4 linked regions of the Saccharomyces cerevisiae S288C genome follow. Changing the gene in region 1 together with any one later gene gives a genetic interaction. Each region holds a gene or a part of one and is shown in the gene's direction. Other genes may lie near its edges.

The links.
Region 2: mutations in SLX4 (region 1) and MMS1 together harm fitness more than expected from each alone (negative genetic interaction), as found in Saccharomyces cerevisiae (3 studies listed by BioGRID).
Region 3: of SLX4 (region 1) and RAD9, a mutation in one rescues a mutant of the other (synthetic rescue), as found in Saccharomyces cerevisiae (4 studies listed by BioGRID, with this or other methods).
Region 4: mutations in SLX4 (region 1) and SAE2 impair growth when combined (synthetic growth defect), as found in Saccharomyces cerevisiae (3 studies listed by BioGRID, with this or other methods).

The regions. Positions count from the first base shown.
Region 1 is NC_001144.5:411,211-418,602, forward strand, and holds SLX4 (Slx4p), read left to right. Parts: upstream 1-2,070; coding exon 2,071-4,317; downstream 4,318-7,392. Other genes in the region: PDC5 (indolepyruvate decarboxylase 5), read left to right, coding at 1-1,204; TIS11 (Tis11p), read right to left, coding at 4,591-5,448; RKM5 (S-adenosylmethionine-dependent methyltransferase), read left to right, coding at 5,796-6,899; NHA1 (Nha1p), read left to right, coding at 7,227-7,392. UniProt on the Saccharomyces cerevisiae protein: Regulatory subunit that interacts with and increases the activity of different structure-specific endonucleases. Has several distinct roles in protecting genome stability by resolving diverse forms of deleterious DNA structures.
Region 2 is NC_001148.4:867,624-877,366, forward strand, and holds MMS1 (Mms1p), read left to right. Parts: upstream 1-3,079; coding exon 3,080-7,303; downstream 7,304-9,743. Other genes in the region: ORC4 (origin recognition complex subunit 4), read right to left, coding at 1-681; TIF3 (Tif3p), read right to left, coding at 1,022-2,332; Rho family GTPase RHO1, read left to right, coding at 7,745-8,374; mitochondrial 37S ribosomal protein uS14m MRP2, read right to left, coding at 8,659-9,006; MET16 (phosphoadenylyl-sulfate reductase (thioredoxin)), read right to left, coding at 9,224-9,743. UniProt on the Saccharomyces cerevisiae protein: Component of multiple cullin-RING-based E3 ubiquitin-protein ligase complexes (CRLs), which mediate the ubiquitination of target proteins. The CRL associates with CDC34 as the E2 ubiquitin-conjugating enzyme.
Region 3 is NC_001136.10:897,530-906,938, reverse strand, and holds RAD9 (chromatin-binding protein RAD9), read left to right. Parts: upstream 1-3,458; coding exon 3,459-7,388; downstream 7,389-9,409. Other genes in the region: MFB1 (Mfb1p), read left to right, coding at 87-1,484; septin SPR28, read left to right, coding at 1,887-3,158; DNA-binding transcription factor ADR1, read right to left, coding at 7,933-9,409. UniProt on the Saccharomyces cerevisiae protein: Essential for cell cycle arrest at the G2 stage following DNA damage by X-irradiation or inactivation of DNA ligase.
Region 4 is NC_001139.9:169,751-175,972, reverse strand, and holds SAE2 (ssDNA endodeoxyribonuclease SAE2), read left to right. Parts: upstream 1-1,650; coding exon 1,651-2,688; downstream 2,689-6,222. Other genes in the region: chromatin-binding exonuclease XRN1, read left to right, coding at 1-446; BUD13 (Bud13p), read right to left, coding at 628-1,428; YGL176C (uncharacterized protein), read left to right, coding at 2,894-4,558; MPT5 (Mpt5p), read right to left, coding at 5,402-6,222. UniProt on the Saccharomyces cerevisiae protein: Endonuclease that cooperates with the MRX complex in processing meiotic and mitotic double-strand breaks by allowing the endonucleolytic removal of SPO11 from the break sites and ensuring both resection and intrachromosomal association of the broken ends.

The DNA.
Region 1 (7,392 bases):
CTACTTGGGTTTGCCAGCTAACTTGGTTGACTTGAACGTCCCAGCCAAGTTATTGGAAACTCCAATTGACTTGTCTTTGAAGCCAAACGACGCTGAAGCTGAAGCTGAAGTTGTTAGAACTGTTGTTGAATTGATCAAGGATGCTAAGAACCCAGTTATCTTGGCTGATGCTTGTGCTTCTAGACATGATGTCAAGGCTGAAACTAAGAAGTTGATGGACTTGACTCAATTCCCAGTTTACGTCACCCCAATGGGTAAGGGTGCTATTGACGAACAACACCCAAGATACGGTGGTGTTTACGTTGGTACCTTGTCTAGACCAGAAGTTAAGAAGGCTGTAGAATCTGCTGATTTGATATTGTCTATCGGTGCTTTGTTGTCTGATTTCAATACCGGTTCTTTCTCTTACTCCTACAAGACCAAAAATATCGTTGAATTCCACTCTGACCACATCAAGATCAGAAACGCCACCTTCCCAGGTGTTCAAATGAAATTTGCCTTGCAAAAATTGTTGGATGCTATTCCAGAAGTCGTCAAGGACTACAAACCTGTTGCTGTCCCAGCTAGAGTTCCAATTACCAAGTCTACTCCAGCTAACACTCCAATGAAGCAAGAATGGATGTGGAACCATTTGGGTAACTTCTTGAGAGAAGGTGATATTGTTATTGCTGAAACCGGTACTTCCGCCTTCGGTATTAACCAAACTACTTTCCCAACAGATGTATACGCTATCGTCCAAGTCTTGTGGGGTTCCATTGGTTTCACAGTCGGCGCTCTATTGGGTGCTACTATGGCCGCTGAAGAACTTGATCCAAAGAAGAGAGTTATTTTATTCATTGGTGACGGTTCTCTACAATTGACTGTTCAAGAAATCTCTACCATGATTAGATGGGGTTTGAAGCCATACATTTTTGTCTTGAATAACAACGGTTACACCATTGAAAAATTGATTCACGGTCCTCATGCCGAATATAATGAAATTCAAGGTTGGGACCACTTGGCCTTATTGCCAACTTTTGGTGCTAGAAACTACGAAACCCACAGAGTTGCTACCACTGGTGAATGGGAAAAGTTGACTCAAGACAAGGACTTCCAAGACAACTCTAAGATTAGAATGATTGAAGTTATGTTGCCAGTCTTTGATGCTCCACAAAACTTGGTTAAACAAGCTCAATTGACTGCCGCTACTAACGCTAAACAATAAGCTAATTAACATAAAACTCATGATTCAACGTTTGTGTATTTTTTTACTTTTGAAGGTTATAGATGTTTAGGTAAATAATTGGCATAGATATAGTTTTAGTATAATAAATTTCTGATTTGGTTTAAAATATCAACTATTTTTTTTCACATATGTTCTTGTAATTACTTTTCTGTCCTGTCTTCCAGGTTAAAGATTAGCTTCTAATATTTTAGGTGGTTTATTATTTAATTTTATGCTGATTAATTTATTTACTTTCGTATTCGGTTTTGTACCTTTAGCTATGATCTTAGCTAATTGAAGAGGGTGGTGTGATCTTTAACCATACCTTATTATCTTTCAGCTGCTTACCATTTTCTTATATTGATTTTTAGCGAAAGATTTTTATTCACAAGCTTTTTTTATCCTTAATGCTCGAATACTACAACAAAACAAAAAACATTAAACAGTTTTTAATTTTGTGAACAAACTGAATTACAAGGCCTTACATCTTATTTAGAATATATTAAGAAACAGAGGCCAACATGCCTTCTTAATTATATTGATATGGACCTCTGTCCTTCCTAAAAACGGGTTTTTGTTCGATGAAAAATCACCAGTAGAGCACCATATATGAATTTACAATCATTGTAGGGAAAAGAAAACTTGTTCTGCTTCGCCAATTGATTTCATTTCTTTTTTTCCTTTGTTTTTGTTGTATACTATTAATATGCGTAGTTCTTTGTCACTTAGTGGTTTTTTGTTTAATTTATAACGCGAAAGCTGCATACTAAAAATATAGAGATGAATGGAACTCCGAACAAGCAAGAGAGATATTATCTATCTCTGTTCCATAATAATAACCAGTAGTTCAGTTGGGGAACTTAATAATGGAACTTCAGAGGGCACAACGGAATTTGAAGTTTTTACAAAACGAGGATTATGTGAACGTTACCGATCAAACTAACCTGAATGGAGAGAGCCAGAATGCTTACTCTTTAGGAATGGAAACTCAAGTACCGGAAATGCAGTTTTCCTTATCATCTGATGATGATTCAATAGGTACGCAAGTAAAAAGCGTAACTGCACAAAAATCGCCTATGACGCAAGAGACTACGAAAAACGATACAGAAAGAAATAAAGATGTTGATAAAAGTTGTAACCCAGTCAGCACTTCCCATCCCGATTTAGGCGGATCAAATATCGAGGAGAACATATTCATTAACACTCAAATTCAAAGCCGACTTGATGACGCAGAGGAAGAAACAAATCTTAAGTTAAAACTTGAAAAATTCAAGTATTCGTTCAAGAGTAGTAACGCAGATGATACCCACAGCAATGCAAATGTAACAGCTAAAAGAAGACCAGCAATAAGGAAGGCTAATTCGAAACTCAAAACAAAACCTAAAACTAAACGAGACCCTAAAATTATCAAAAATATAACTGATTTCAATATTAATAACTACGAACGTTCAAGGACTGCCAGCTTATTAAAGCAATTATCAGGTAAGCACAAGAAGGTTTTGGACATAATAAAGACGCAAAATGAAGGAAACAGTGATAAACCTCCCAGAGCAAGGAATAACAAGGGTGAAAAAGCTACTTTTGATACATATAGTGAACAGGAGTGGAAAGATATTATGAAACTTCTTCTACAAAAGTTTCCGCAAAGTGAGGAAACGGATTTGAATGAAGTCCAGAAATTTTTATATGGAAGCGAAAAAAGCTCGAATTCTCTAGACAATCAAGAATCCTCACAACAAAGACTTTGGACAGCATCACAATTACCACCCGAGCTTCCCGATGAGGCTATTCAACCAGAGCAGGAAGAAAGGATACGCGATACCCAAAGTGCAGTAAATTTCTTATCGTTGTCTCAAGTAATGGATGACAAAAGTGAAATTATGAAAGACGAAGAAAGCATAATTATTTCACGGGGAGATTCTACAAGCTCTCAAGAATATGGAAACGGGTTAGAGCCACAACAACCGGTAGGAAATGTTGTTGGTGAAGATATTGAACTGGCTGTGGGAACACGTATAAATGCATTTTCACTGACAGATTATAAAGCTTGCAAACCTATGTCTGTTGAGGTAAGTAGAAGATGCGAAAACAGTACGGATAATGATTATGACAATATTTCTATTGTCTCAGATACTACAGATGAGACATCCACATTGTTTCCACTAGACCAGTATCGGTATGTTTTCATTGAAAATGATGAAAGACCACCATTAGCCACCGACACGATAGGCAGCACACAGTTTTTCACTCCAAACACATCGCCTTTGGATGGGATAATCGATTTAACACAGGAATCATTCAAAGCTGTTCGATCGTTAATATCACCTTTGAAAGTAGAAAACAACAAAACAGGGGTAACATCACAAGCATCAAATCAGGTTCAGGTACCAGCTACAAGAACCCCTACAATTATTCCTCAAAAGAACCTTACTACAACTTTAAAAACTGAAGAAGAAAAGAATAACATAGGAAGTTCCATCAGAGTTAAATTATTGCAAGAAAGCGTAGTTAAGCTAAACCCCAAACTGGTGAAACATAACTTTTATAGAGTTGAGGCAAATGATTCTGAAGAAGAGGAGACAGAATTTGATGACCAATTCTGCATTGCTGATATCCAATTGGTAGATTCCTCCAAAATTTCGACTAAAGATTCTACACAAAATCCTACTACTAGCAACGACATTATTGATACCTCTGCAGCTAGTTCCATAGCTTCTCCCGAGAAATTTTGTGAGATCATGATGTCCCAATCAATGAAAGAGCTTCGACAAAGCTTGAAAACAGTGGGGTTGAAACCTATGAGGACGAAGGTTGAAATCATTCAATCCTTACAAACTGCATCTCAAATTCTGTCCACAGCTAATCCAGATAATAAAGGTGAGCATGGTGGGGTGGCAAATTTCAGTAAGATAGAAATATTTGATCATTTAACCGAACTAATTGAAGCCTTCCCTGATTTTTTGGAGCGAATATATACCTTTGAACCCATTCCGCTAAATGAGCTAATTGAAAAGCTGTTCAGCGCCGAGCCATTTGTTTCGCAAATCGACGAAATGACCATCAGAGAATGGGCCGATGTTCAAGGAATATGTCTGAGAAACGATAAAAAGTAGTGCCGAATGATTGAGAATTTGACAAAACAAAAACAAAACAAAACAAACGTTACGTATAGATGAAGAATACACGTACACAAATATGCATATATACCGTCATGAAGTAGCTTAACTTAAATAAAAGTTTTTTTTTTTTAGAGTTACCAATATCGCAAACATGAAAATGAGAATAAAAAAAAAAAAGCAGAAAAAAAAAAAGCATAACATGGAGAAAAAAATAATAAATAATTGAGTTTAGTTGAGACGCCGGTCTTCGCCAGGCCAGGAATTGTTTCACCAGGTCATTCTCTGCAAAGCCTTTACTTTAACATTTAGATTCTTCTTCTTGGCGGAGCCGCGACCATTGCTTCTCTTTTCGTCTGATTGTTTGCTAGTCGAAGAGACGTTACAGTAAGTACCAGCTTTCACGTAAACAGCAATGTCGTTGTCGTCGCCATGTTTGAAGCAGCATCTTCTGCCATAAGGACAATAACCTAGTTTCTCCCAATTCACACAGGGCTTCGTCCTGAAATTCTTGCACGATTTCTTAACCTTTAATTCGCCGAGTCCGTGAGCAAACTGACACTTACTGCCATAAGGGCAACTTCCTTTTAAAGTGAATGATTCGCACAGCTCTGTCTTGTATAATTGTTTGGGAGTTTCCTGCACTTGGCTTTTCACCTTAGGTTGAGCTGAGGATTCCTTCTCTGATGAAAAAGAAGCATCATTTTTGGGCTTTTGTTGAGACAACTGTTGCAAATTCTGTGAAGTTAATGGTAATTGTGAAGATTTTGGGACATAGTCCGGATTTATTTGTACCTCTAGTTTCTTTTTAAAAGTAGTAGGTGCCGTGCTATTCAGGTGAGCGGATGGGAGAAAAGGGTTCATTAACTGTGGATCATACAGTAGCCCCGGTTGAATAGCGTTTGTATTTTTTGGTGGAGAGAATGAAACTGCCGAAGATATTTCACTGCTTGTTTCCTGTATGTTATCCTCGTTTAAAATCGTCTTGTTGTAATACTCCTCCAGTTCCCTAATATTGATCTGGTACTGGTAGTCATTTAATGGATTTTGCTCTTGATCTGTGGAAAACAACGACGTTAAGTCAGTCTTCTGAGATTCTGGTCTAGTATATGATAATTGAGCCCACATATTGCGTTATTTTTTACGTATTGAGTTTGCAGCACTGTTTCGCTTTCTCTCAAGATGCACAAATACGACCTACCAAGAGCCTCCAAGTCCCACCAACGATTATGTCTTCTCTCAAATATATATACAAGTTACATGTAGAGAAATCGAGACGAGATTGCTGGCACAATGCACCCAACTGCATGTGCCATTGTGCATCTACACCTCCAAATTAGGGTGTCGATTGGCGTCGTCTTCTTTAATGTGGGTGCATTTTGCGGCGGCGCGACAAATATAGAGAACTGACCAAGGCAGTGCTGTCAAGAAGAGAGAATGGTTACGGCAGCGAAGACGCAAATGGGCTAGGCAGAATGGCATTCAAGTTATGGCTACTGGATGAGGAAACAATATACGAGCACGTGTTCGAACGGTACACACAATTGGAGGGCCAGTCCGGGAAACTGGCGCAGGATTTGGGTATTCAGGATAGAAGGGGCGGTGTGCTAGAGATAACGTTTGAACCCTCTGGGCTGGAAGGCGGCAGAAAAAAAAAGCGAGTGAGAAGAAGAAATAAGGCTAGTAGTGTTGAAGAAGATCAGAATGTTGCTGTGGATAGCTATCATGTTAGCGTGGGGCAGTCCATATCAAGCTTGCGCTCGTCCAGAGACAACGGAAACTCCACCACAGGATACGTTTTGTGGTCTACCACACCTTTCTTCATCAACTGGCTGCTGTATAGTACTAGCGCTGCACCTTTCCGTCTTGGGAGTCAGGTGGAAGTAACCTGCGGGTCTTCTTGCGAGGGGCACAAGCTTGAGTTGCCCAGGCTGGTCGACCTCACGGGCGCTGATCGCGGCAAGAGAGGTATCTTGGAACTTGGAGCAGGAATATCAGGTATTTTGCCCGTGATTCTTGGTAACTTCGTCGACACCTACGTGTCGACAGATCAGAAGGGCATTCTTAATAAATTAAAAGATAACATCATGGAAAACTTATCACAGTTGACCAGAAAGCGGTGCATTTCCCGATCACTAAGATTGGAACTTCCCACCGTCGAACCAGTTGGCGACGCTGATATCACCGCAGCGTCACTTCCATCTAAGTCTACGTTGCATTTGGAAGTAGCCGCTCTAGACTGGGAGAAGATAAACTTGCAAGACAAAAAGACCCACTCTCTGCATCCTGAGTTGTCACTCATAGGTGAAACATGTTCTTCCGTGTACGTTATAGCTATGGATGTCATATACAACGAGTACCTGATAGATCCGTTTCTGAAGACGCTCAAGCAACTCAAACACTGGTTACAAACTACCTACAATTTGCAATTCCATGTCCTCGTGGGGATACACTTGCGGTCACAAGAGGTGACAACACTGTTCTTGGAGAAAGCCATCATAGAATATGACTTCACGGTTTATGATATCGTTGACCAGGTCATACAAGAGTCCCGTTTTAACTTTTATCTTATCACCTAGTCCCATATATAATAATAGAAACAATATAATGCTGATAATCTTATTTTTCTTTGCGATGCGGCAGTGCCTCTTCCCCTCCGTACGGATTGGGAAGATTTTCATTTTTGATTAGCAAGGGCACTAAGCCAACTCTGTGTGATATAGCTAATAATCTAAAAGCTGCTGGATCCGTTATCGTCAAGATAAAGCGGACTTAGCGATTTACATAGGATCACACTTTCTACACACATTTGATTTTTAAGCTTCATTTTCCACTGCACTTATTTTTCCCAAGCATCGTGTTTTTTTGTACATTATAAAAAAAAATCCTGAACTTAGCTAGATATTATGGCTATCTGGGAGCAACTAGAAGTCTCAAAGGCGCACGTTGCTTATGCATGTGTTGGTGTCTTTTCATCTATCTTCTCTTTAGTGTCACTTTATGTCAAGGAGAAGCTTTATATTGGTGAGTCCACCGTAGCAGGTATATTTGGGCTAATTGTGGGTCCTGTTT
Region 2 (9,743 bases), on another chromosome or scaffold:
CCTCACAGGCCCAGCAAATGTATCAATTTCATCGAATATAAAAACAACTGTTATCTTTGTTATACTCTCTCTGTCAACCTCACCACTATCTTCATTTCTTGTCTTCGTGGTCGAATCTAAGAGTAAAAGAATTTTCTCAAACACTTCTGTCAAAGAACCACTGCTAATAGTCTCTAATGAAGTATCGTCAATTTTTTCTTCACTGCCATGAATTTTCTGCAACTGCTGTTCCAATTGAGTTGCTATACCGTTAATAGCTGTTTGTTCGGAGTGAATAAACCCATTCAACCTGATAGTTATAAACTGCTCTTTATAAGATTGTTGCAACAAAGACAGTTCATAGTCTAATAAGTATGTTTTGTAACTTTGTCTGGGCCCCACGAGAATTACTGAATGACTCTCTTTCTGAATAATGGATTGTTTAATGATTCTATCGATCTCTTGTTGACAATCTTGTAAATATGTGAAGATTATCTTTTCGTCCGTAGGAAGTGTGCCATAAAGTTGCTGCAGTAACCTTCTTTGAAGGGAACCAAAACCAGGGTCGCTGTCTTTACACTTTTCATTATCTATAGTACGCTTTTTTAGAATCGCTGCAGTCTCCTCTACCTCTTCGTTTGAGTGCCTCTTTATTGGGAGAAGATTGACTTGCGGTGATAGACGAGCTTCGCTTATAGTCATGCTTCTTCTTTTGAATATTACCGATATTAGTAGTTTATATTTGATATTTCTATCAGTATTATTTAGATTTTTTTTTTTTTTTTAATTGTTAATGCTTTTTCTTAGAACTTTCCAAAAACGAAAGGAAAATGGGACATTCAAAAACTTACCTCACATAGAAAAATGATAAATCCAAAAATACACTTGAACACATGTATGAAACTTAATACAAAATATATGGTTATTTTTTTTTTAATTATATAATAGAGTTAGAATACCTGGTAGAAAGGAGAGTAGAAAAACAAGAAAGAAAAAAAGCAAACAGTAAATACAAATGTACATTTTATCATCATACAACACTCTATTTCTTACCAACAACTTCCCAATTGTCACCATCTTCAACAGTCAATTGAGCAGTTTTATCCTGTAGCTTTTCAACTGCCGCATCAACTTTGTTTTCTTTTGCGTCTCCATTTTGCTTTTCAGCCTCTTCATCTTCATCATCATCTTCAGTACGTAAAACATCATAAACAGACTTCTGGATTTTTGGTTGCTCATCAGTAGTCTTTTTGTTAGTTAGAGACCTATCCTTGTAGGTATTTTTGGTTTGTTGAGGCTTACCAAACTGAGCACCTCTGGCAGCACCCCAATCCAAAGCTGGTTCTTCCTTTTCTCTTTCTCTTCTTGGTGGTCTTGAGGAGCTTTGGAAGTTGGAACCTCTGGCTGCACTCCAGTCAATATCTGGCTCTTCTCTTTCTCTTCTTGGTGGCCTCGAGGAGCTTTGAAAGTTAGAGCCTCTAGCTGCACTCCAGTCAATATCTGGCTCTTCTCTTTCTCTTCTTGGTGGTCTGGAAGAGCCTTGGAAATTGGAGCCTCTTGCAGCGCTCCAGTCGATATCAACTTCTTCTCTTTCTCTTCTTGGTGGTCTGGAAGAGCCTTGGAAATTGGAACCTCTTGCAGCAGTCCAGTCAATATCAACTTCTTCTCTTTCTCTTCTTGGACCTCTGAAGTTAGAACCTCTAGCGGCACCCCAATCAAGATCTGGTGCATCTTCTCTTCCATCACCTTGGAAATTGGAGCCTCTAGCACTACTCCAATCAACATCTGCACCTCCCCCTCTTCTTGGAGCCGCAACAGAAACGTAAACAGTTCTCTCATTCAATTTAGTACCGTTGAACTTCAGAACGGCGACCAAATCTGCTCTTTCTTTCAAAGTAACGAAAGCATTACCCTTTAATCTTGTTGGGTCTCTTAGATTCTTTGGCAAAACAACTTCTTCAACCGCTTCAGGCTTAACTAAACCATCTTCAACCCAGGCTTGAACACCCTCTGGGGTAATATCCCATGGAATGTTGTTTATGACAGCCCTATATGGTGGAGCATCTGGAACAGGGTATTCCTCTCTTCTATCGGAAGAACCGCCCCCCAAAGCAGGGTCTAATCTAGATCTACCTCCAAAACTGCCACCAAAGCCGCCTGAACGCGTGTTATTGCTGTTGTTTTTAGCATGAGCCAATTCGGACAATGGAATAGTGTTTGCATTAGCGGTTTCAATAGGAATTGTGATCTTATTCAAATCGACATCTTCTTCAGCCCAAGATGAACCAAAGGTGTCATCATTTAAAAATGACGTAAGGTCCATCTTCTTTACGGTTTTCTTTGGTGGAGCCATGATGTGTCCTTTTTATTATGGTATTATTTTCCTAAAGACAGATGAAAGCTAATATAAACTCGAGTTTTATGATAATCCCGCTTATTGGTCTACTGATCTTCTCTAACTCTGTAGTTATATCTATCTCTTCTGCTTCTATTTCTGCTTTTCTTTAGCGATGCTGATTTCCGCAAAAAAATTTTCATTCCGTGGTGCGTGATCTGATGAGAAATAAAGCCAAAAAGAAAAAAAGACAAGAAGACAAAAAGGTTGGGCGGCTAAGTAGCGCCAGGATATAAAAAGCAACATAGATTTCAGTACCCTATTATCCTGCCAAAATTTACTTTAAGAAGTCTCTATGAATATACAGGCTAAATTTGGAAACATGAGAAAGGAAAGATGAAGATACAAAGATTGCAAGCAGTCAAGAAGATTTAGGAAAAAAGGAAAAAGCAAAAAATATCGATTTTTATGACTTACAAACTAAATTGATATGTTCGAAATAATTTTGAGAAGCTGAGCTCAATCTGGTACTAATCACTTCAAGTTAGATGTGCAAAGAAAGAGAATAGCATAAATTCAAAACCAAAGGAAGTGCGAGGCATTACCCGCATATTATCGGGAAACAGAAGCCATGTTAGAGTGATTTCCAACAAATGGCCCTTTGCCAGAGATGGGCTCTGCAAAAGAATTGGAAGAAGAGAAGAAATCGCTTCACATTCCGTTTCGTTTCTGGGTCTAATTAAAGTAGTACGGTGTCAATTAGGTATGCTAGGTTTGCGAACTCATGGTTTAGACAGGTATGAACATTATATTCGTCGCCCGTCGGATTTTGGCAAACTTGAGCTGCAAGATTGGTTGAATCATAAGTCATTCCGAGTTTCCCCCAATTTATTAATTGATTCAAGCACCACACGTGAGTGGAATGAACCTGAGCTTTTTTATCAAAATACCGAGGATGAAACTTGGGTGAGACCTTGTGTAGGGCCAAAGCTAGAACCATCAATGATGATGCTCAGATATCACGATTCGAATATTGGTCAAATGCCTCAATTTTGTTATCCAATCTCAAGTCCGATAAATTTTAAACCAGTATTAAAATACATTTTGCAAGAACGTTCTGAACTGTCAGACGGCTTCCCTCAAAAGTATAACACACTAATAGGTAGTCTTTTTGACATTGATAAAAACCCAGAAACCTTAGATGATTCAGATATAGAAGCATTGGATGACATAGAAATGAGCAGTGACAGCGGTAATGTTAAAGAACCAAAAATTGAATTGCAGGCGCTGGAAGAAATCCAACAAAAGCATTTCAGTTTAATAGTATCCAACAATGGAATCTTTCAAACAGGTAGCACTTCAATAACATACATACAGTCTGGCATATCTGGCAGCATAGCTATAAAACCCAACAACGTTGCAATTTTAATATTACTCACTCAACCAAGTGGTCACTTATTGTCTATTTTACCGCTTGATGACGGTAAAGAGACATATTTGCTACAATATTGGAACCTGGGACAAAAAGGTCAGTGGAACATAATCAAGCACCAAAACGAGAAGCAGTTTGTTCTTATACATAAGGAACTAGGCATTTGCAAATTTTTTGAATTCCATTTACCATTTACTTTTCAATTAGTAAACAATTTAACATTGACCGATTCCGTGATTATGAACGGATCCTTTTTCCCAACAAATTACACTGATTTAGATCCCTATTTCATTATATTTATAACAGCCATAAGATATGAAAGGATAGTCTACTTTGTCATAGAATGGAACAACAACGAAATAAAGAAAAAAGAGGTATATCAATTGACAGTATTTGATGGTGAGAAGACTAATATGACAATACCCATTGGACTAAATGCATGTTTAGTCGAAACACCCCTAAAGTTCTCTTTAGTTTCTGCAAATCAAATTATGTCAGGAGAGACTGAATTCCACTCATTCCAATTGAAGGCTCTCAAGGGAATCAAGTCATTTTTTCCAGCTCCTTTATTGTTATTAAAATTACAAGAACTACACCCACATACATTTAAAAAATTCCAATATTGTACCATAATATCCTCCTCGACAGGAAATATTTGTTTTTGCGTCACCGAACGATCGACAATAGTAAATGGTAATTTAAAATTTTACGAGCTAACTAGGTTCAAAGGATTGAAATCCATTTCACCACTACCTTCAAATCCGATAAATTTAGACTCCAGATCCTCAAGTTATGTACTGGTGGTCATAAGTTTTAGTAGAACATTAGAGCTAACATTATCTCTAGAAGATTTGAGATGTTTAGATAAAAAAGACGTTATTAAGCCTTTGAAAAATATCACCTTCAAGCACACAATTGATAGTTCCACAGAGGAGAACTCTCAAATTTTAGCATTTACGTCTTCTAAATTTTATAACACACACACAGGCTCTAACATCAATGACACGAGAAATTCTCAAGTTTGGCTTACCTCACCAAATGCAATAACTCAACCTTGCATTGATTATAAACTCAGGAAAACTCATCAACTTATCCACTTAAAGCAATTTCAAATTTTTAGACATCTTAGGATATGGAAATGTAAGAACCTTGATATTGCTCTGTTACAGAGACTTGGAATAAACCAGTCAAATACCGAAAGTTCGTTAATTTTTGCGACCGACGCTGTTTCTAACAACAGAATATTTTTATTAGATTTAACTATGACAACGACAATCGATAATGATGATCCCGTTCAAGGACTGATAAATATAGAAGATTTACTATGTGATACTGAAAACGAAACTATCCTTCTAAATTTTACGAAAAATAACTTGATTCAAGTAACTAGGGATACGATATACATCGATCCCATTGGTGGGGACAAAGAGTTGCGTAAGATTTCTCCAGGTTGGGAATTCGAAAACGTTACATACAATGATGGTATTTTAATAGTTTGGAATGCTGGGCTTGGCTGTGTCTCTTATATTGAAAATATAGACGCTGTTGATGAGTCTGGCGCCTTAGTTTCAAACTTAAGCAGCAGCAAAGGCATGAGCAAGTTCTTCAAGCAGTTAGGAACTGTCACGAGTGTCAATTTTCAAATCAAAGAGTCTACAGATGATCCAACCAAGTATGACATTTGGATCCTTTTACCAGACTGTGTCATTCGTACACCCTTTTCTGACTGGATTAGTGATTCACTTGATTTTTCTGATGTGTATATTTTGAGTGTTCAGCAGGCGTTAATAAACGGCCCTTATTTTTGCTCTCTCGATTATGAATCATATTTTGAGGTGCACACTTTACAGAACAACTGCTTCAAAAAAGGATCCAGATGTACAAGCAGAGTTAATTTTCAAGGGAAAGATATTAAATTTAGAAGCTTTGGTGTGAATCAATGTTTGGCATTTAGTGCATTTGAAATTTTTGTCATCAATTTAACGCCAATTCACGACAGTAGAGAATTGGATTTTTACAAGCTAAAATTACCGCACCTAGGTAATAACAATTCAATTCTTGAAGTCTGTCCGGACATAGAAAACAACCAATTATTCATACTCTACTCTGATGGCTTAAGAATCCTCGAACTATCATACCTAACATCAAATAATGGAAATTTCTTATTAAAATCTACAAGAAGCAAAAATAAGAAATTTTTATATCTAGACAAAATAAATCGAATGCTGGTATTGAATCAGGACTTGAGGGAATGGGAGTGTATTAGACTATCAGATGGTAAGGCAGTTGGTTTAGATTCTCAACTTCTTAAGGATGATTCTGAAGAAATCCTAGAAATAAAGGAATTACCAATAGCAACAGAGGACAATCCTTTAGAAAAGAAAACTGTATTATTGATCTCTTTTACTAGCTCATTAAAACTAGTTTTATTAACTGCTGCAAAAAACAAAATTTCCAATCAAATAATAGATTCGTATAAACTTGACAATTCAAGACTCCTCAATCATTTGGTCATTACTCCCAGAGGTGAAATATTCTTTCTGGATTATAAAGTTATGGGCACCGATAACGAAATGTCCTTTAACAAGTTGAAAGTCACAAAACATTGCATTGACCAGGAGGAGAGAAATAATACGACTTTGCGGCTCACTTTGGAAACCCGGTTTACATTTAAGAGTTGGAGTACAGTTAAGACGTTTACTGTAGTAGGCGATAATATCATTGCTACCACAAATATGGGCGAAAAGCTCTACTTGATTAAGGATTTCTCTTCATCATCTGACGAATCGAGAAGGGTGTATCCCTTGGAAATGTATCCTGATTCAAAAGTTCAAAAGATAATACCATTAAATGAATGCTGCTTTGTTGTTGCCGCTTACTGTGGAAATAGGAACGATTTAGATTCAAGATTAATTTTTTACTCTTTACCCACCATCAAAGTTGGGCTTAATAACGAAACAGGCAGCCTACCAGATGAATATGGGAATGGGAGAGTCGACGACATATTCGAGGTTGACTTTCCTGAAGGATTTCAATTTGGCACTATGGCTTTGTATGATGTTTTACATGGTGAGAGGCACGTAAATCGTTACAGCGAAGGCATACGGTCGGAGAATGACGAAGCAGAGGTTGCCCTAAGGCAGCGTAGAAATTTACTACTCTTTTGGCGAAACCACTCTTCTACACCAAAACCTTCACTACGCCGAGCCGCCACTATAGTATATGAGGATCATGTATCATCCCGTTATTTTGAGGATATAAGTTCTATATTAGGAAGCACTGCAATGAGAACTAAAAGACTATCTCCCTATAATGCGGTAGCATTGGACAAGCCTATTCAAGATATTAGTTACGATCCCGCAGTACAAACTTTATATGTGCTAATGGCAGATCAAACAATTCACAAATTCGGCAAGGACAGGTTGCCTTGCCAGGACGAATACGAACCAAGATGGAATTCTGGCTATTTGGTTTCAAGAAGGTCAATAGTTAAATCTGACCTCATCTGTGAGGTTGGGTTATGGAACCTTAGCGATAACTGCAAGAACACAGTATAATTCCCTCATTTCCAATAACATTGTCGCTGATAAAATCGTGATTCTCGATCAATGTGCTACGCGTCGTGCAGCGTGACAAGGGGCTAAAAAAAGATACAAGAATTCTTGTTGTTTCCAATTTGCTTCGCCTCAGAAAAAAAAATAAACAGATTATACAATTTTTGTTTGATTTGTATTGGGTACTACATGTTTTAGTAGTTGATACAAATACTTCTTTATCCTAATCGTATATATTTATTTTACCAGCAGGAATTCGTCTTTAATATCGTTTCGACCATCGATCATTCCTCTGAGTATTGCAAAAACATTTTTGGAACAACCCAAACTTAAAGTTACAAAACTCAAAAAAGGAACAAAATTAATAAAACAAAAGAATCGCTGTTAGAGGTTTATTGTTGCACTAATAGAAAATCATAGAACTTTAAAAATTATACTAGAAAGATGTCACAACAAGTTGGTAACAGTATCAGAAGAAAGCTGGTAATCGTTGGTGATGGTGCCTGTGGTAAGACATGTTTATTAATCGTCTTTTCCAAGGGCCAATTTCCAGAAGTCTACGTACCAACTGTCTTTGAAAACTATGTAGCAGATGTTGAAGTTGATGGGCGTCGTGTAGAGCTAGCGCTATGGGATACCGCTGGTCAAGAAGATTATGATAGACTAAGACCATTGTCATACCCAGACTCCAATGTCGTATTAATTTGTTTCTCTATCGATCTTCCAGATTCTTTAGAGAATGTACAAGAAAAATGGATTGCCGAAGTATTACATTTCTGTCAAGGTGTGCCAATTATTCTTGTTGGTTGTAAAGTGGATTTGAGAAACGACCCACAAACCATTGAACAATTAAGACAAGAAGGTCAACAACCCGTTACATCACAGGAGGGACAATCTGTAGCAGACCAGATTGGCGCAACCGGATACTACGAATGTTCGGCCAAGACTGGTTATGGTGTCAGAGAAGTGTTTGAGGCCGCCACTAGAGCTTCATTGATGGGTAAATCTAAAACGAATGGTAAAGCTAAGAAGAACACTACTGAAAAGAAGAAGAAGAAGTGTGTCTTGTTATAGGAGTGTCTCGATCTCTCAGTCGTTAACTTAGTGGCAGATACTGCCCTTTTTCAATCCCATTCCTTTTCTCATTGTATGTACGTATGCCTTTTTTTGTTATTTTAGCTCTAACTATAGCTACTTGTTTTTCTCCCAGTATGTGTATAATCTTATTCTTCTCTACATATAAGTGTATTGCTCAGTAAGTATTATCATCTATTAAAGAAGAATAAAAATTATCATGTATTTATTTACAAGTGCGTATCCTATATATATATATATATATACTTTCGCGATAAAATTTTTTACCAAATACCCTTCTTAACACCTGGCAAATTACCCTTCAGAGCGTTTTCTCTAAATTGATACCTACACAACCTAAAATCACTTAGAACAAATCTTGCATGTCCAGAGTCCACGCACCTATTTTTGATCTGCGTAGATCTCATGTAGTTTGGCAATGCATTTAGTTTTAACTGAGCCTCCAACCTCAGTTTTGTTGGAAGGTTCATATTTCTAGCGATGAATTTCAAAGATTTAACAAGGATTTCATTCTCTTTAAATTGTTGTCTTTTGAAGTTATCCCTAAGTATGCGAGCATTGATAAACCCTGGTGGTAGCTTGGTTTTTATAGGAAATCTGAAATTACCCATCGGTTAATGTATATATTTGTCAGTTTACCTTTTCTTTCGTTTTTCCTTTCAATCCTCTTTATCGCAGTTTGGTTCTTAGTTTGAATATTCCTCTGTTTTCGCTCTTTTCTCGTACAGCGCGAATTCTCCGCCAGCTTTAGAAAGTTGTAATCATTGGTGTTATTAAGGAATAAATAATTAGTCACATACATATGGTTATATATCGTACTCTATCTATCTAGGCATCTTGCTTTAAAAATTGCGCGAATCGGCTGGCTTCATGAATTCCACACTCGGTCTTGGCCTTGCCCTTCCATCTTCCTGCTCTCTCATCTTCACCTTCCTTGACGGGTTGTGTGGAATGGTAATCACCAATGGATCTATATCCAAGGTCCAAAAGTTCGTTGTATGGTACATTGTTTGCATCTATATACTGTTTAACCTGCTCGAACGTCCAATTGATCAATGGATTTATTTTTAAGATTCCATTAAGTTCGTCTATTTCAATAATCGACAGTTGGGAGCGGGCAGAACCTTGTGATTTTCTTCTACCAGTAAACACAGCACTTATATGTAGCTCTTTGTAGGCACGATGTGCAGGTTCCACTTTGGCCAGATAATCGTACTTGTCATCATCTTTCTCCCATAAGAAATCCCCGTATTTCGAGGCAAAATCTGCCTCCGATTCACATCCATCCGGCTTATATACGTGAATGGTTTGATTTTTAGGCTGGTAGTATTTTTTCTCAATCTCGTTT
Region 3 (9,409 bases), on another chromosome or scaffold:
ACAAAATATCAAAACAAATTGGCCAAACTGCACAAGGAAAGTTCACTTTTGTTCCAGAATTAGTTATAGTTCCTTCAACCACATAGATGACATTATTTTCTTGTAGTGTACAGATGCCGCTGGAGGAAAGGTCCCTGACAAACTTACCATTAAACCTATTGTTCCGAATATTGTCTCACCTGGATATGAATGATTTACAAAACATAGGGAAAACTTGCACCTTGCTAAGGATGCTGGCGAATGAGAACATTGTTTACAGAAATGCTGTTATCGGCTCAAACGGGAATATGTGGTGGACAAAAAATGTTCTTGTTGATGTCTTTGATGTTTTGAATTTTAATAGAAAGGCAATGAAAACCTTAAATAGTCACAACATATCCCTGGTCGCATCATTAAGAAATGTTCAGCGGAAATATAAACTAGGCGTTATTGATCCGGCTAGAAAGACAATAAGTTATAGAACAAATGAAGTTGAGAGCAAAGAAAAGGGCTCTGTGAAAGATTTAAATATGGATTTGAACGAACCTACAGAAATAACAAGGGAGCAAATCGCTCATACTGCAATACTACAAGGAATGAATCAATTCATCGAACTCAATGATAAAGCATTTAGGACCCATTCAGCGGATTCTGATGATACATACATAGAGGAGAATAATGGAGAAATACATTCTCTCCACGGATTGGAAAAAAATACAACATTTGAAGAAGACTTAGTCAAAAAGCCACCTTTTATCCCTTCTCCGACATTTTCTAATTATTCTAGAAGTTCAACAAATTCTGTATTTTCAAGTTCATCGCCCAAACTACTGGACGATGATTGGAATAATATTACAATGGATTTCACTAAGTCACGAGATCCTGATTATAAAGAGATGACGCCTACATCTACTGAATCGTCTGACTCAATCACAAGATTGAGAAAATCTAATAAAGTCAAGGATAAAGCCGAACTTTTTGAGAAGTTAATTTTTAGAGATAGCAGACCATTAAAAACAAAGAAAAAGGACAATCCAAGATTGAAATTATCCAGTTCGTTAAGTGCTAATGACGAAGATTTTAGGAAAATCATAAGTCCCCCTTCTGACATACTACCGAAAGTTGGCAGAAGGAGCGTCTCAAGAGGTTATTTAGAGGAGATTGAAAGGCATTATCCCGATTTTAACGGTGAAACAACTAATCCTCTAGCAATTAAAAGAGTCAACAGTACAAAGATAGCAAATTATGAACAATTAATTATAAAAGAAAATAGCTCGAACTGTAAAGGAATAACAGAGAAAAATGATGAAAATAAATTTCAAAGAAGTCACACTTCCCCAGTAATAGAATTATCCAAACCTCATCAAAGAAGCAAATTAAAGGCGGTTGTTACAGACGGTAATAAGATATGCTATCGCAAAATCGAATTGGATAACCCTAGTGGGTCGAATACGAATGATCATGTAATCAAACGGCTTGACGCTAATACCGATTTTAATATATAACAGAAAACGCCTCAAACCGACTTTGCTTGGAAGAGTTTTCTCTGAATTAGCAACGGAACTTCGAAATGGTTTTAGACAAGCATGCATGGTATGTAGAAACAGTTAAAGAGCGCCGCTACCATTTGCACAGATGTACATATAAATAAATGACTTATTTTTTATATTCTATCAATAATAAGACAATTTGTGGTTGCCTTTAGAAATTTCGTGGCTTTTTTTCATATATTCTAACTTCAATAAAGTTTTTTTGATGCGAAATTTGATCGCTCATATTAAGGACGCCTGAAAAAGACATGCGTCTACATTTTGTGTCATTCCCATAAGAATAGTAAGAACAGGCATTTTTATAAATCGATACAAAAAAAGAGCTACTATACGTACATAAAGTCAGTAAATAATCAAATGTTCCCAATGAAAGATCACTCAGCTCTTGAACAACATACTCTCAGCAGAGATGAGTTAAGACGTCGCAAGGGTTACAAGAAAGGACTGCAGTTGTCAATTTTGTTACTTGGAGAAAAAGGCAGCGGCAAATCAACGTTTTTAAACAATCTGTGCGGTCAGGATATATCGCTTTCTGATGGGGATTATGATGATGATGATGATAAAGTGACAAATAATGTAACACCAGAAAATGGAAACGCCATCGAAGATATAGATCCTGGATATAAAACAGCCCATTTGAGTCCTGGGCTGAAGCTTGTCACCAGAAGAGTGTATTTGAACGATGAACTAGGCGTACCCATAACATTAGATATCATATTGTTTCCAGGCTGCGGTGACAATGTCGACAATTCACAAAGCTCTGTTGTTATAAAAAACTACTTAGACCAACAGTTTGCAAATGTTTTAAAAGAAGAGGTCAGAATAAAGAGAAACACAAAAGAAACTGATGGGAGGCCTCATGTTTGTTTATACTTTCTGAAGAGTACTCCAAGAGGAGTCAAAAAATTTGATATTGAGTTAATGAAAACGATTTGTGATAAAGTTAATTTAATTCCCATTATTCCAAAAGCCGATGGTCTCACAGAAACTGAATTAAATTTACACAAAGACATTGTGCGCCAAGAAATCTCTCAGAACAATATACGTGTTTTTGATTTTAAAAGTGACACCCTAGGCGAAACATTAGCTCTGTACGATATGGACATCGATTCCAGTTCAGCAAAATCCAAATACGATAATGACACGAAGATCAAGGAAATATCGCCATTTGCCATTGTTTGCAGCAAAACTTTTAATAAAAATTCGGAAAATAGGGTTGAGCATATCAGAACGTACGAATGGGGTAGCTTGGTGGTCGAAGACCAAAACACCTCCGATTTTATATACTTAAAAGCAATACTGTTAGGTTCTCACCTTCAGGAATTAAAAGATGTAACAAACAACGTATTGTATGAAAATTATAGGGCTAAAGTGTTAACTGAGAAGAAAAACAACTATGATATTCCAAACTATAGCTATATCGACGAAACCTCAAGGGGAAGTGTCAGCAATGTTTCCACCAGAAGAAATAGTGCAAGTAGAACACTTGGGAATCCAGATACAAACGATGAAAATGCTTATCAAATACACAAAGAAATAGACGAAAAAAACAGAATTATTGAAGACTATCAAAGGAAGATTGATTTATTGGAGAAAATGTTGGCAGCTCCCCATCAAAATAAGGTCTAAATAAATATACGGCCTTGTTAGCGTTAGATACATATGAAATAAAATTTTATTGCTTTTTCAAGTGCACTAAAGTATAAGGCAAAATTTTTTTAATCTATAATATACTTTCTCGATGTGTCTCTATATAACCTTGTGTCTTTCTTATTACTGGCACGGCTTTGAATTTTCAGAGTGCAGTTCTGATTAAACACGCGAGGATTTTTGTTCGTGGATATTTGCAACGATGAGCAATGTGAAGTGAGCAAGATAGAGAAACGCCATAGAAAAGAGCATAGTGAGAAAATCTTCAACATCAGGGCTATGTCAGGCCAGTTAGTTCAATGGAAAAGCTCTCCAGATCGAGTCACCCAAAGCGCTATAAAGGAAGCACTGCATTCTCCCTTGGCTGATGGCGACATGAACGAAATGAATGTTCCCGTTGATCCGTTGGAAAACAAGGTAAATAGCACAAACATAATCGAAGGAAGTCCCAAAGCAAATCCAAATCCTGTCAAGTTTATGAATACAAGTGAGATATTTCAAAAATCTCTGGGATTACTTGACGAGAGTCCAAGACATGATGATGAGTTAAATATTGAAGTAGGAGATAATGATCGACCAAATGCTAACATATTGCATAATGAAAGGACTCCTGACCTTGACCGAATTGCTAACTTTTTCAAAAGCAATCGAACCCCTGGTAAAGAAAATCTTTTGACCAAATATCAAAGCTCCGATCTGGAAGACACTCCTCTGATGTTAAGAAAAAAAATGACTTTTCAAACTCCAACTGATCCATTGGAACAGAAAACCTTCAAAAAGTTGAAGTCAGATACTGGGTTTTGCTATTATGGAGAGCAGAATGATGGAGAAGAAAATGCGTCATTAGAAGTTACAGAGGCGGATGCCACTTTTGTACAGATGGCTGAACGTTCTGCTGATAATTATGACTGTGCATTGGAAGGAATTGTTACACCTAAAAGATATAAAGACGAATTAAGTAAAAGTGGAGGAATGCAAGATGAACGAGTTCAAAAAACTCAAATCATGATATCAGCAGAATCACCTAATTCGATAAGCTCTTATGACAAGAACAAAATTACCGGGAATGGCCGGACCACAAGAAATGTAAACAAGGTTTTTAACAATAACGAAGATAACATAGGAGCTATCGAGGAAAAAAATCCAGTAAAAAAGAAAAGTGAGAACTATTCATCAGATGATCTCAGAGAACGGAACAATCAAATAATACAAAGTAATGAATCAGAGGAGATTAACGAATTGGAAAAGAATCTGAATGTTTCGGGTAGAGAGAATGACGTGAACAATTTAGATATCGATATTAATAGTGCTGTGTCTGGCACCCCTTCACGCAACAATGCGGAAGAAGAAATGTATTCCAGTGAGAGTGTAAACAATCGGGAACCATCCAAGAAGTGGATATTCCGATACTCAAAAGACAAAACGGAAAATAATAGCAATAGATCTACGCAAATAGTCAATAATCCAAGAACACAGGAAATGCCTTTAGATAGTATTTCAATCGATACGCAACCCTTATCTAAAAGTTTCAATACCGAAACAAATAATGAATTAGAGACACAGATAATTGTTTCATCGCTTTCCCAAGGCATATCTGCTCAGAAGGGACCTGTTTTTCATTCTACTGGCCAGACAGAAGAAATAAAAACCCAAATAATAAATTCTCCTGAACAAAATGCTTTGAATGCAACCTTTGAAACTCCCGTTACTCTTTCTCGGATTAATTTTGAACCCATATTGGAAGTTCCTGAGACTAGTTCACCATCTAAGAATACGATGTCAAAACCCTCGAATTCTTCACCTATTCCGAAGGAAAAAGATACATTTAATATACACGAGAGAGAAGTAGAGACAAACAATGTTTTTTCAAACGATATACAAAATTCTTCAAATGCAGCTACCAGAGATGACATTATCATAGCCGGTTCATCTGATTTCAACGAACAAAAGGAAATAACCGATAGAATATACTTACAACTTTCAGGAAAGCAAATATCTGATTCAGGAAGTGATGAAACAGAACGTATGTCCCCAAATGAGCTTGATACGAAAAAGGAAAGTACAATCATGAGCGAGGTTGAACTAACCCAAGAACTGCCTGAAGTTGAAGAGCAGCAAGATCTTCAAACGTCTCCAAAAAAGCTGGTAGTCGAGGAAGAAACTTTAATGGAGATAAAAAAAAGCAAGGGGAACTCACTTCAGCTTCATGATGATAATAAAGAATGCAATTCAGATAAACAAGATGGCACAGAGTCTTTGGATGTAGCTTTGATTGAACACGAAAGCAAAGGACAGAGCTCAGAACTTCAGAAAAACCTCATGCAATTATTTCCAAGTGAGTCACAGGAGATTATTCAGAACCGAAGAACAATAAAGCGACGTCAAAAAGATACAATAGAGATCGGTGAAGAGGAGGAGAACAGAAGCACTAAGACATCACCGACAAAACACCTCAAAAGAAATTCAGATTTGGATGCTGCTTCTATCAAAAGGGAACCGTCTTGCAGCATTACCATACAAACAGGGGAGACAGGTTCGGGCAAAGACTCTAAAGAACAGTCTTACGTGTTTCCTGAAGGTATTAGAACGGCAGATAATAGTTTCTTATCGAAAGACGACATAATTTTTGGAAATGCGGTATGGTGTCAGTATACGTGGAATTACAAATTTTATCCGGGTATTTTATTGGAAGTTGACACTAATCAAGATGGCTGTTGGATTTATTTCGAAACAGGAAGATCGCTAACCAAAGATGAGGACATCTACTACTTAGATATTAGAATAGGGGATGCTGTTACCTTTGATGGAAATGAGTACGTAGTCGTTGGTCTAGAATGTCGTAGCCATGATCTCAACATAATAAGATGTATTCGAGGATATGATACGGTTCATTTGAAAAAAAAAAATGCAAGCGGATTGTTGGGGAAAAGGACGTTAATTAAAGCACTAAGCTCGATCAGTCTTGACCTAAGCGAGTGGGCTAAAAGAGCGAAGATCATATTAGAAGATAATGAGAAAAATAAAGGCGACGCGTATAGGTACTTGAGACATCCCATTAGGGGAAGGAAATCAATGACCAATGTTCTGTCTCCGAAGAAACATACTGATGACGAAAAGGACATAAATACGCATACTGAAGTGTACAATAACGAAATAGAATCGAGCTCCGAAAAGAAGGAAATTGTTAAAAAGGATTCTAGAGACGCATTAGCTGAACATGCAGGAGCGCCAAGCCTGCTTTTTTCTTCTGGTGAAATCAGAACAGGGAATGTATTTGATAAATGTATTTTTGTTTTGACAAGCCTATTCGAAAATAGAGAGGAACTTCGACAGACCATTGAATCGCAAGGCGGCACTGTAATTGAGTCAGGATTTTCCACTTTATTTAACTTCACTCATCCGCTAGCTAAATCTTTAGTCAATAAAGGTAATACAGATAATATTCGAGAATTGGCCTTGAAGCTAGCCTGGAAACCTCATTCCCTATTTGCAGACTGCAGATTTGCTTGCCTAATCACAAAACGGCATTTAAGAAGCTTAAAGTACTTAGAAACTTTGGCGTTGGGGTGGCCTACACTACACTGGAAATTCATAAGTGCATGCATTGAAAAGAAAAGAATAGTACCACATTTAATATACCAATACCTATTACCTTCGGGTGAAAGTTTTCGGTTATCGTTAGATTCTCCATCAAAGGGAGGAATCATTAAATCCAACAATATTTTTTCATTTTATACACAATTCTTACGCGGATCTAATTTAAGAGATCAGATATGTGGAGTGAAGAAAATGTTAAATGACTACATTGTTATTGTTTGGGGTAGATCTGAGTTGGACAGTTTTGTCAAATTTGCTTTTGCATGTTTGAGCGCAGGTAGAATGCTTACAATTGATTTACCCAATATTGATGTAGATGATACAGAGCCATTGTTAAATGCCTTAGATTCTTTAGTACCCAGAATAGGATCAGAATTATCTAATCGAAAGTTAAAGTTTCTCATATATGCTAACGAAAATAATGGTAAATCTCAGATGAAGCTTCTCGAAAGATTGAGAAGTCAAATATCACTGAAATTTAAGAAATTTAATTACATATTTCACACTGAATCTAAAGAATGGCTAATTCAGACAATAATTAACGAGGACACTGGTTTTCACGATGATATTACGGACAATGATATATACAACACTATTTCTGAGGTTAGATGAAATTATAAAAATATATAAACTCATAATTGATAGAAAGGGACGATTAAATAAAAAAAAATTTAGAGATTCTTAATTAAGTCTAAGAACATCCTCCCACACGCCAGGAGTGGTTAATGTTCAAGATTGGTATTAGTTATACACGGTAACCAACAACGTTGGTAAGGTCTTTTTCTTCTATACATGAATTTTAAGATCAAGCATATATTTTAGGCTTGCATCTTGTAATGAACTAACTTTCATAAATAGCTTTTCTTTTTTGTATGAGGTATAAGATGAAAAATGTTAAACATGATACAGGATTTAATATAAAATGGACCAAAATAAGGAGCAATAACGAGATTCACCCCAATGGGTGAGATGAGAAACGCCAAGGTAGTGAAATATTTTTGTGCAACAATTTCAAAGATAAGATCGGTGTTCTCCCGCAGTAGTCCACTTCAGTCGCATGCATGGCTGTTTGATGAGAAATAAAATGAGATATTCAAAATCTCATCAGAAAGAGTTGAGTACTGGGACGACACATATCAGCAACGAGACATAATCGTCAACTGTTTCCCTTTAGATGATTTTCCAAAGTGTGGAAATCACTTGCCATCTTATCTAACATGTGACAATGAATGTAGTTTTCTTTAACATTGGTGAAAAATAACTTGGCAATAGTAACATATTTCAGAGATAATTGGTACTTTTCGGCAAATCCTTGCCCCTTTCCACCATTTTTATGTTTTGATGAATGATTTTCCCCGTAACGTAAAAGATTCAAAGTAGAAACAGTTTGATGCGAATCATTTAAGCCGCTGAAGTTAATACCTTCTAGGCCGGTATCCGATAGGAAATGTGCTGAACGAGGCAAGTCTGTCACTGCCCTGTCCCCATTATCAAAGGAAAATTCATTTCGAATAGGATCCTCCATATTCAAAAAAGAGGTATCGTTAAAAGAGTTAACTAGGATTTCATTAATAAACATTGCAAGCCCTTCAACATTGATCTTTTTGGCTAACTTAGTCTTAACAGCTGCACTTGCACCATTATGGTGTTCATTTGCGGATAAACCAGGGACAAGCATACCATTATCTTTATTTATAAATTGTTGCGTAAATACAACATCAGGAAATCCAGAAAACTCTTGCGGATACAATCTTGAAAGTGTGGGAAGTAAAATAGAATTCGCAAGGCTTCTCAACTCAATAAAAATTCTCAGTAACTTAAAATTTGGAGTTGCTTCAAAATCCAATAAAAATTTGATAATTAGGATGAAGCAATAGTAATAGCCTTGTAAATTGAAGACAGAAAGCGCTTGATTATTCAGGTGGATCCTTGGCAGCTCTGGAGAATTCATTCTTTGGGAGCAATCACTTTCTTCTTCTACGTATAAAGACGAAATATTACGGATTGAAAAGTTCAACGCTACTAAAAATTCACACAATACTTCAACTGAATAATTCTTCAAAAAATTCAACCTCACAGAGTTCAAAAAGGAATCATATATCTTTGCTATTTGTCCTTTTCTAACCTTCTCAGTAAACGAGCGATCAATCTGTTTGATGAATCTCATTGACATTAAATTATTTTTCAAAATTATGGTGTCATCAATTAAGATCGCAATATTTTTATTGGTTGCTGCCATATTATCATTGCCATAGGAAGAAGTGTCAAGACTCCTCTCTAGCCTTTTCGTATCGATTCGATCCAAAAACACATGTGATTTGGTTCCTTTTCTTAAATCGTATTCATAATAAATCATAGATGACCCTAAAAATTCTGGTATTGAGTGTAAGTGTCCATACGTGAAACTGTAATAAAAGTTTCTAAAATCATAAAAATTTTGCTTTTGCACAACATGCCCATTACATATTATCGATTCACTGGCCCATTTTGACTCATTGTCGGGAATATAAATGGTTTCAACATCTTTTTCCTTTATAGACAAATCGAATTTAATATGGAAGAAACATTTCAAGAACTGACAAAAATCATAAGCCATTAAGGTGCATCTAATTTTTGACTCAAAAATGATGTAT
Region 4 (6,222 bases), on another chromosome or scaffold:
TGGTTGGGGGTCCTATTCCTGGAGCGAATGATGTTGCAGATGTTGGTTTGCCGTACAATATTCCCCCAGGTTTTATGACGCATCCTAATGGTCTTCACCCATTACACCCTCACCAGATGCCTTACCCTAATATGAATGGAATGTCTATTCCGCCACCAGCACCACATGGGTTTGGACAACCGATTTCCTTCCCACCTCCACCTCCTATGACAAATGTTTCAGATCAAGGAAGTCGTATTGTTGTCAATGAAAAGGAAAGCCAAGATTTGAAAAAATTCATTAATGGTAAACAGCACAGCAATGGTTCAACTATTGGGGGAGAAACAAAGAACAGTAGGAAAGGCGAGATTAAACCTTCTTCTGGCACAAACTCTACTGAATGTCAATCGCCAAAGTCACAAAGCAATGCTGCTGACCGTGATAATAAAAAAGACGAATCTACTTAGAACATACGACTAAAAACGAAGTATATTCGAGGTTACTTTAATAGTATATCTGAGACCTATATAAAGAGGGGTATTTGTATTTAATCGTTGATCTTGTTAAGAAAAAGCTTATAACAAATGGGGATTGTCAAAGGGTATTTTTTACACAAAGCTTTCCGCATAGTTATATATTATCTCATTTTCAATAATCCTCCTGTAGGGTGTAGCTTTGCACTTTCTTCTCATTGATCTCATTTTGCTTAGCAAACCATTTTTCTTCAAAGCCATTTGATCTGTGGACACCGTCCCATCTTGACCCAGGCATAATGGCAAACCTGTTCTCAGGTGCTGGCTTATCATAAAGCTTGCGGCCCAGTAAAGATGTTTTTACAGTTCTTTCTTTGTCATGTGTAAATGTTATTGCAGGGTCTTCTATCGTCAGACTCGAGGCAGTTTGATTTTTCTTCTTATCATGTGCATCTACATTTATTCCAAGCTTTTGCACGTCTCCCATATTCAAATTTTTCAGGTATTGCTCTCTTTCCGCGGCTTTCTCATCTTCATATTTAGATCGACTAAAACTAGAATCGTCTATCTTGGAATCTTCCTGAATCTTGTGACCTTGAGCGTCTCTGTATATGGTTTTTCGTGTTTTCGATTTGTCTGCTACTGTGACAAGTGGCTCTTGAGCCCTGATTTCCTTTAGATCGTTCTTGCTTTCGTTGCCAGTAATTGACGATGCGGAAGGATGTGTTATTGCATGGGAAAGCTCGTTTGTTTCCAGGTTCTTCCATATATTCTTGCTTTTTTGTTTGTCAAACTTGCTGAATGAAGCAACTCCTGACTTCTCCTGTTCTTGTTGCAGTGTACTTAGCCGTTCTTTTACTATCAAAGAAGTTTTGTCTGAGTTAGCGTCTGATTTTGACTCTTTCTTCTTCTTTTTCGTCTTATTTTTGGGTTTCGTGGGCCCATAAGTCTCTGATAAATACTGATGCAATGCCATGTAATAAACGTCCTGTTGTTATCTTCCACCATTCGAGTCTTGAGAACAACTTTCAAAATCAAGTCAAATAGCCATTTTCTTTATGCCATTTTCTAAGCGCGTTCTACAAAAAAAAAGCTTTTAAGCTTTAATACCTTTTTTGTTTACGTTTGCAAACATTGTTATCGTTCACATACCTGCATTTCCATCCATGCTGTAAGCCATTAGGTGTTTGTATGTGAGATGGTGACTGGTGAAGAAAATGTGTATCTAAAGTCAAGCTTATCCATTCTCAAGGAGCTCAGTCTCGATGAACTACTAAATGTGCAGTATGACGTGACTACCTTAATCGCGAAACGTGTTCAAGCACTGCAAAATCGGAATAAATGTGTTCTCGAAGAACCTAACAGTAAACTGGCTGAAATTCTATGTCACGAAAAAAATGCTCCTCAACAATCCTCTCAGACGTCTGCGGGGCCAGGTGAGCAAGATTCTGAAGATTTCATCCTTACTCAGTTTGATGAGGACATAAAGAAAGAATCAGCAGAGGTTCACTATCGTAATGAAAATAAACACACTGTGCAGTTACCGCTGGTTACTATGCCACCTAATAGGCATAAACGGAAAATTTCGGAGTTTAGTTCGCCTTTAAATGGCCTCAACAACTTAAGCGATTTGGAAGATTGCTCTGATACTGTAATCCACGAAAAAGATAATGATAAAGAGAACAAAACAAGAAAACTATTGGGAATAGAGCTCGAGAACCCTGAATCTACATCGCCAAATTTATACAAAAATGTTAAGGATAATTTCCTGTTTGACTTCAATACGAACCCTTTAACAAAGCGAGCCTGGATTCTCGAAGACTTTAGACCAAATGAAGATATCGCCCCGGTTAAGAGAGGAAGAAGAAAATTGGAGCGATTTTATGCCCAAGTTGGAAAGCCAGAGGATTCTAAACACAGATCATTGTCAGTAGTTATAGAATCGCAAAATTCGGACTACGAATTTGCGTTTGATAACTTGAGGAATAGATCAAAATCCCCCCCAGGTTTTGGAAGACTGGATTTTCCCTCCACTCAGGAAGGGAACGAGGACAAAAAGAAATCCCAGGAAATCATCAGAAGAAAGACAAAATATAGGTTTTTAATGGCAAGCAATAACAAGATCCCACCGTACGAGAGAGAATATGTATTCAAAAGAGAACAATTAAATCAAATTGTTGACGATGGATGTTTCTTCTGGAGTGATAAATTATTGCAGATATATGCTAGATGTTAAACGCCAGCGATCATCATTCTTTATTCATTACTTCAAATACATTTTTTTTGGTATGGTTGAAAGGGCTTTTTTCCTCGTTGGCATATGGGAAAAACTGAAAAATAAAAAAAGGCAATGAGATGAACAACAATGGAAAACAAAAAAGGGCGAATAAATAAGCAGCAGTTGGTAAAGCAGAAAGGGGAAGTTAACGGACGTTAAACAAATGACACCTAACTTACCAGGGTTTTATTATGATAGAGAACGTCGACGTTATTTTCGCATATCTGAAAATCAAAGCATTTCTACCACGGGAACGACGAACCAGTACAGAAAAGATAATATAAAGCGACAATGTGTTGAGGAAAATTACGATAAAAAATTTTCTATGATTAAAAAAAAACGTCAGCAAACATTACAAAAGTACAAGCTTAGTCTTCTGAATCCGTTGGAAAGGGCTTTTCGCCCTTTATCATATGAAAAGTACATGATTGGTTTAAATATGCAGTATGCATCGCATTCTCTCACTGAAGGTCATCACTCACATAGTTCTGCTAACGTAAAATCACTCAATTTTCCACACAGGATACAGATAGGAGTATTAGCAAATTGTATTTTATTGGTAACTCAAGAAGGATGTTTTCATAGTAAATTAGTATTTGCAACAAACAAGGGCTATGTCGCAGGATTTTCATCCCTGGATAATTTTTCTGAAGAAAATTTCTTTACGGGGTTTTCCATGGCTGAATTAAATCCTATGTTGAAATATAAGTCCGAGCCAACTGATGTGTTCAAAACAATGAAACTTGAGAGAACAGTTGCCATCAAGGAAGGGCCGAGCCATTATTTTTATCACAACGTTAATACCAGATCTAACGTGCATACTTTTGCCATCTTTTTACAAGACTTTTCTTCCTTAAAACTGCTCAAAATTCGTCAGGTCAAACTCAAAGAAAATTGCCAAGTCCATGATTCTCTTGTTGTTGGAGACACGTTGATTATTACCGTAAATTATCGTTGTCATTTTTATGATTTGATTCCAGAAACCTTTCCAAATCCCTATATCTTTTCTCCTGCCAAAAGCTCAAGAAAACACAAAAGTAGGAGTGACATTACTTCCCTATCATTTTGTCTACAAGAAGATGCTTTATCACCTTTAAAAAAAACGAACACCGGTGTGTTTTATTTAGGTTACAGAAATGGTGATTCAATGGCAATAGTCTTCACTAATATTACAAACATGACATTACAGTACTCCAAGACCAACGGTATGACATCAGAAAGTCGAAATCAACCTATCAGAAATTCCCTAAAATCTGTTGTTTCCATAAAAGCATTGAATAATAAAGGCCTAATACTTATATCTGGAATGGCAGACAAAGAGAATGTGCAACAACTGGTTATAGCAGATACGTTCCTGGAGGACATTCTGACCGAAATCCCGGTTGTATCTTTTAAAACTAAGTTCTTAAACGTGACTAAGGATACAGAAATACTCGAGATATCGGATGACGGGCGCTACTTCATTTATGGTTCAACTAGCGCTAGGGACGGAAAGGGTGATTTTGAAGTATTTTGTACCACTTTATCTGGAAATCTTGACTACGAAAAATCCGAAGGTGGAAATATCACCCTCTATCCAATAGGAGGTATGAAGAACTACTGTAGGTTAGAAAACTTCCAGTTTGAATCTATCCACCTACATTCGGCTTTCATACCCCCAAGGTACGTAAATCCGTTTGATGCTGTGGAACCTCTAGGTGAAGAGAGCAGTACTTCACCTTACGATATACCTGAAGAAGCACTTTCTCAAAAAATATGCATCTTAATTCGGAGAGAAGATGATCCCTACAATGGGGCCAATATCTTCATAACATCTGCTTTGACCTAGTTTAGCCCACCGAGATTTTTGCTTTATAAATATTTTAGCATACTTTGCATTCATATACATATTCATATGTATAAATATTCTTTAAATTTTAACGCCGACTTCGAACTAATTAGCAGTCAAAACCCAAATGTAATGACCTTATGGTGTTATAGCATAATTCTTCTTGGTGTACAATTCCATTCTGAATAGTTCAACGATTTTAGATATAGTTAGATATGATATTATAATAAAATATACAAATATGTATCATTGTTAGTACAAGTTAAACCTAAATATAATAAAGCCAACCAAGACAGGAACCAGTAGAAAAATTTATACAAATGACAAAGAAAAACAAACGGTATTTTCCTATTTATTAAAAATGCTTGAGCGAATGGATATTTTAACACATTAGTGTCCTAAAGGACAATTGGATTTGAAAATAAAATGACAGTAATAGACAAAAAGAAAACTGAATGAATGAATGGACGTATGGATTGCTTAATGAATGAATGAATTAAATAATAGTTGGGCGTAAGTTCAGAAGATGAGGAATTTAAAACAAAAATAATCGTTGACAAAAAACGATTCAAAAAAAAATTAGATCATTTTGGTAGGGAGCAATGCTAACCCTGCAAAGGCAGTGGGAGGATTTTGGATACGTGTTCGGAAACAGAATACAAAATATAAAGATGGCAATAGTTTGCTTTACCATTTTTTTCCGGCTCAAATTTTGGGACTTTAGTAGGACGTCATTGCTTAGTTGAATTTTTTATTTTTTATTTTTTATTTTTCTTTTGTCTTTGATTTCTGCGTAAAATATTTGTACAGTAAGAAGGAAAGAAAAAGAAAGAAAAAAAAGTATTATGGCAAAGTGAATTGAAGTTCATCAGATGTTCTAGCGGTATTCATGGCAGGCATATTGGAAATACTAGCGTTGCGGCTCATATTAACTTGATTATATGGGCCTTGACCAATATGCTGCGACTTCATTGACAAACTTGAATCCCAGTTTGCACCTTCCGTTTGATATTGCATACGAGGCACAAAAGATTCATTGAAGTTTTGACTATTTGCATTAGAGTATGGCGAGAAGTGATTAGCATTAATTTTGTCGGTTTCATTCATCATAAATCCAGGCTGCTTAAATCCCCTTGAAACATTAGGATTCACATTGGTAATGTTAGATGATGAGAACGAATGGATTGGTGCAGCAGAATTAGGATGTGCCATTAAATTTGCAAACTGGCGGTTGTCGAAGTTTTGTAACGAGTTATGGCTTACCAATGGTGGGTTAGTTTGAGAATTGAAAGAAGGTGCTCCCATCGAGGGATATGCGTTTTGGTTGAAGTTCATAATTTGTTGCGGAGAGTGAATTTTCTGATCTTGTGCATATTGGTTTGAGAAATTATTGGTTACAGAGCTGTTACTTCTTCTATGGTAAGCATTAGCTGGTAAAGAAAAATGACGGGTATGACTCTTTTGATTATTATTGTTATTATTATTGTGAGCATGGTTATGATTATGATTATGATTATGATTATGACTATTTTTGTTATGGGGGTTCTTATTTTCGTTGTTAATCGTTTGAAGATTGTTATGACTCATTGCAGTGACTTGAGGAGATATGTCAGTGAATGGTATACCTGTGGCTTCTGCATAAGCTTTAACTTTCAACTTAATTT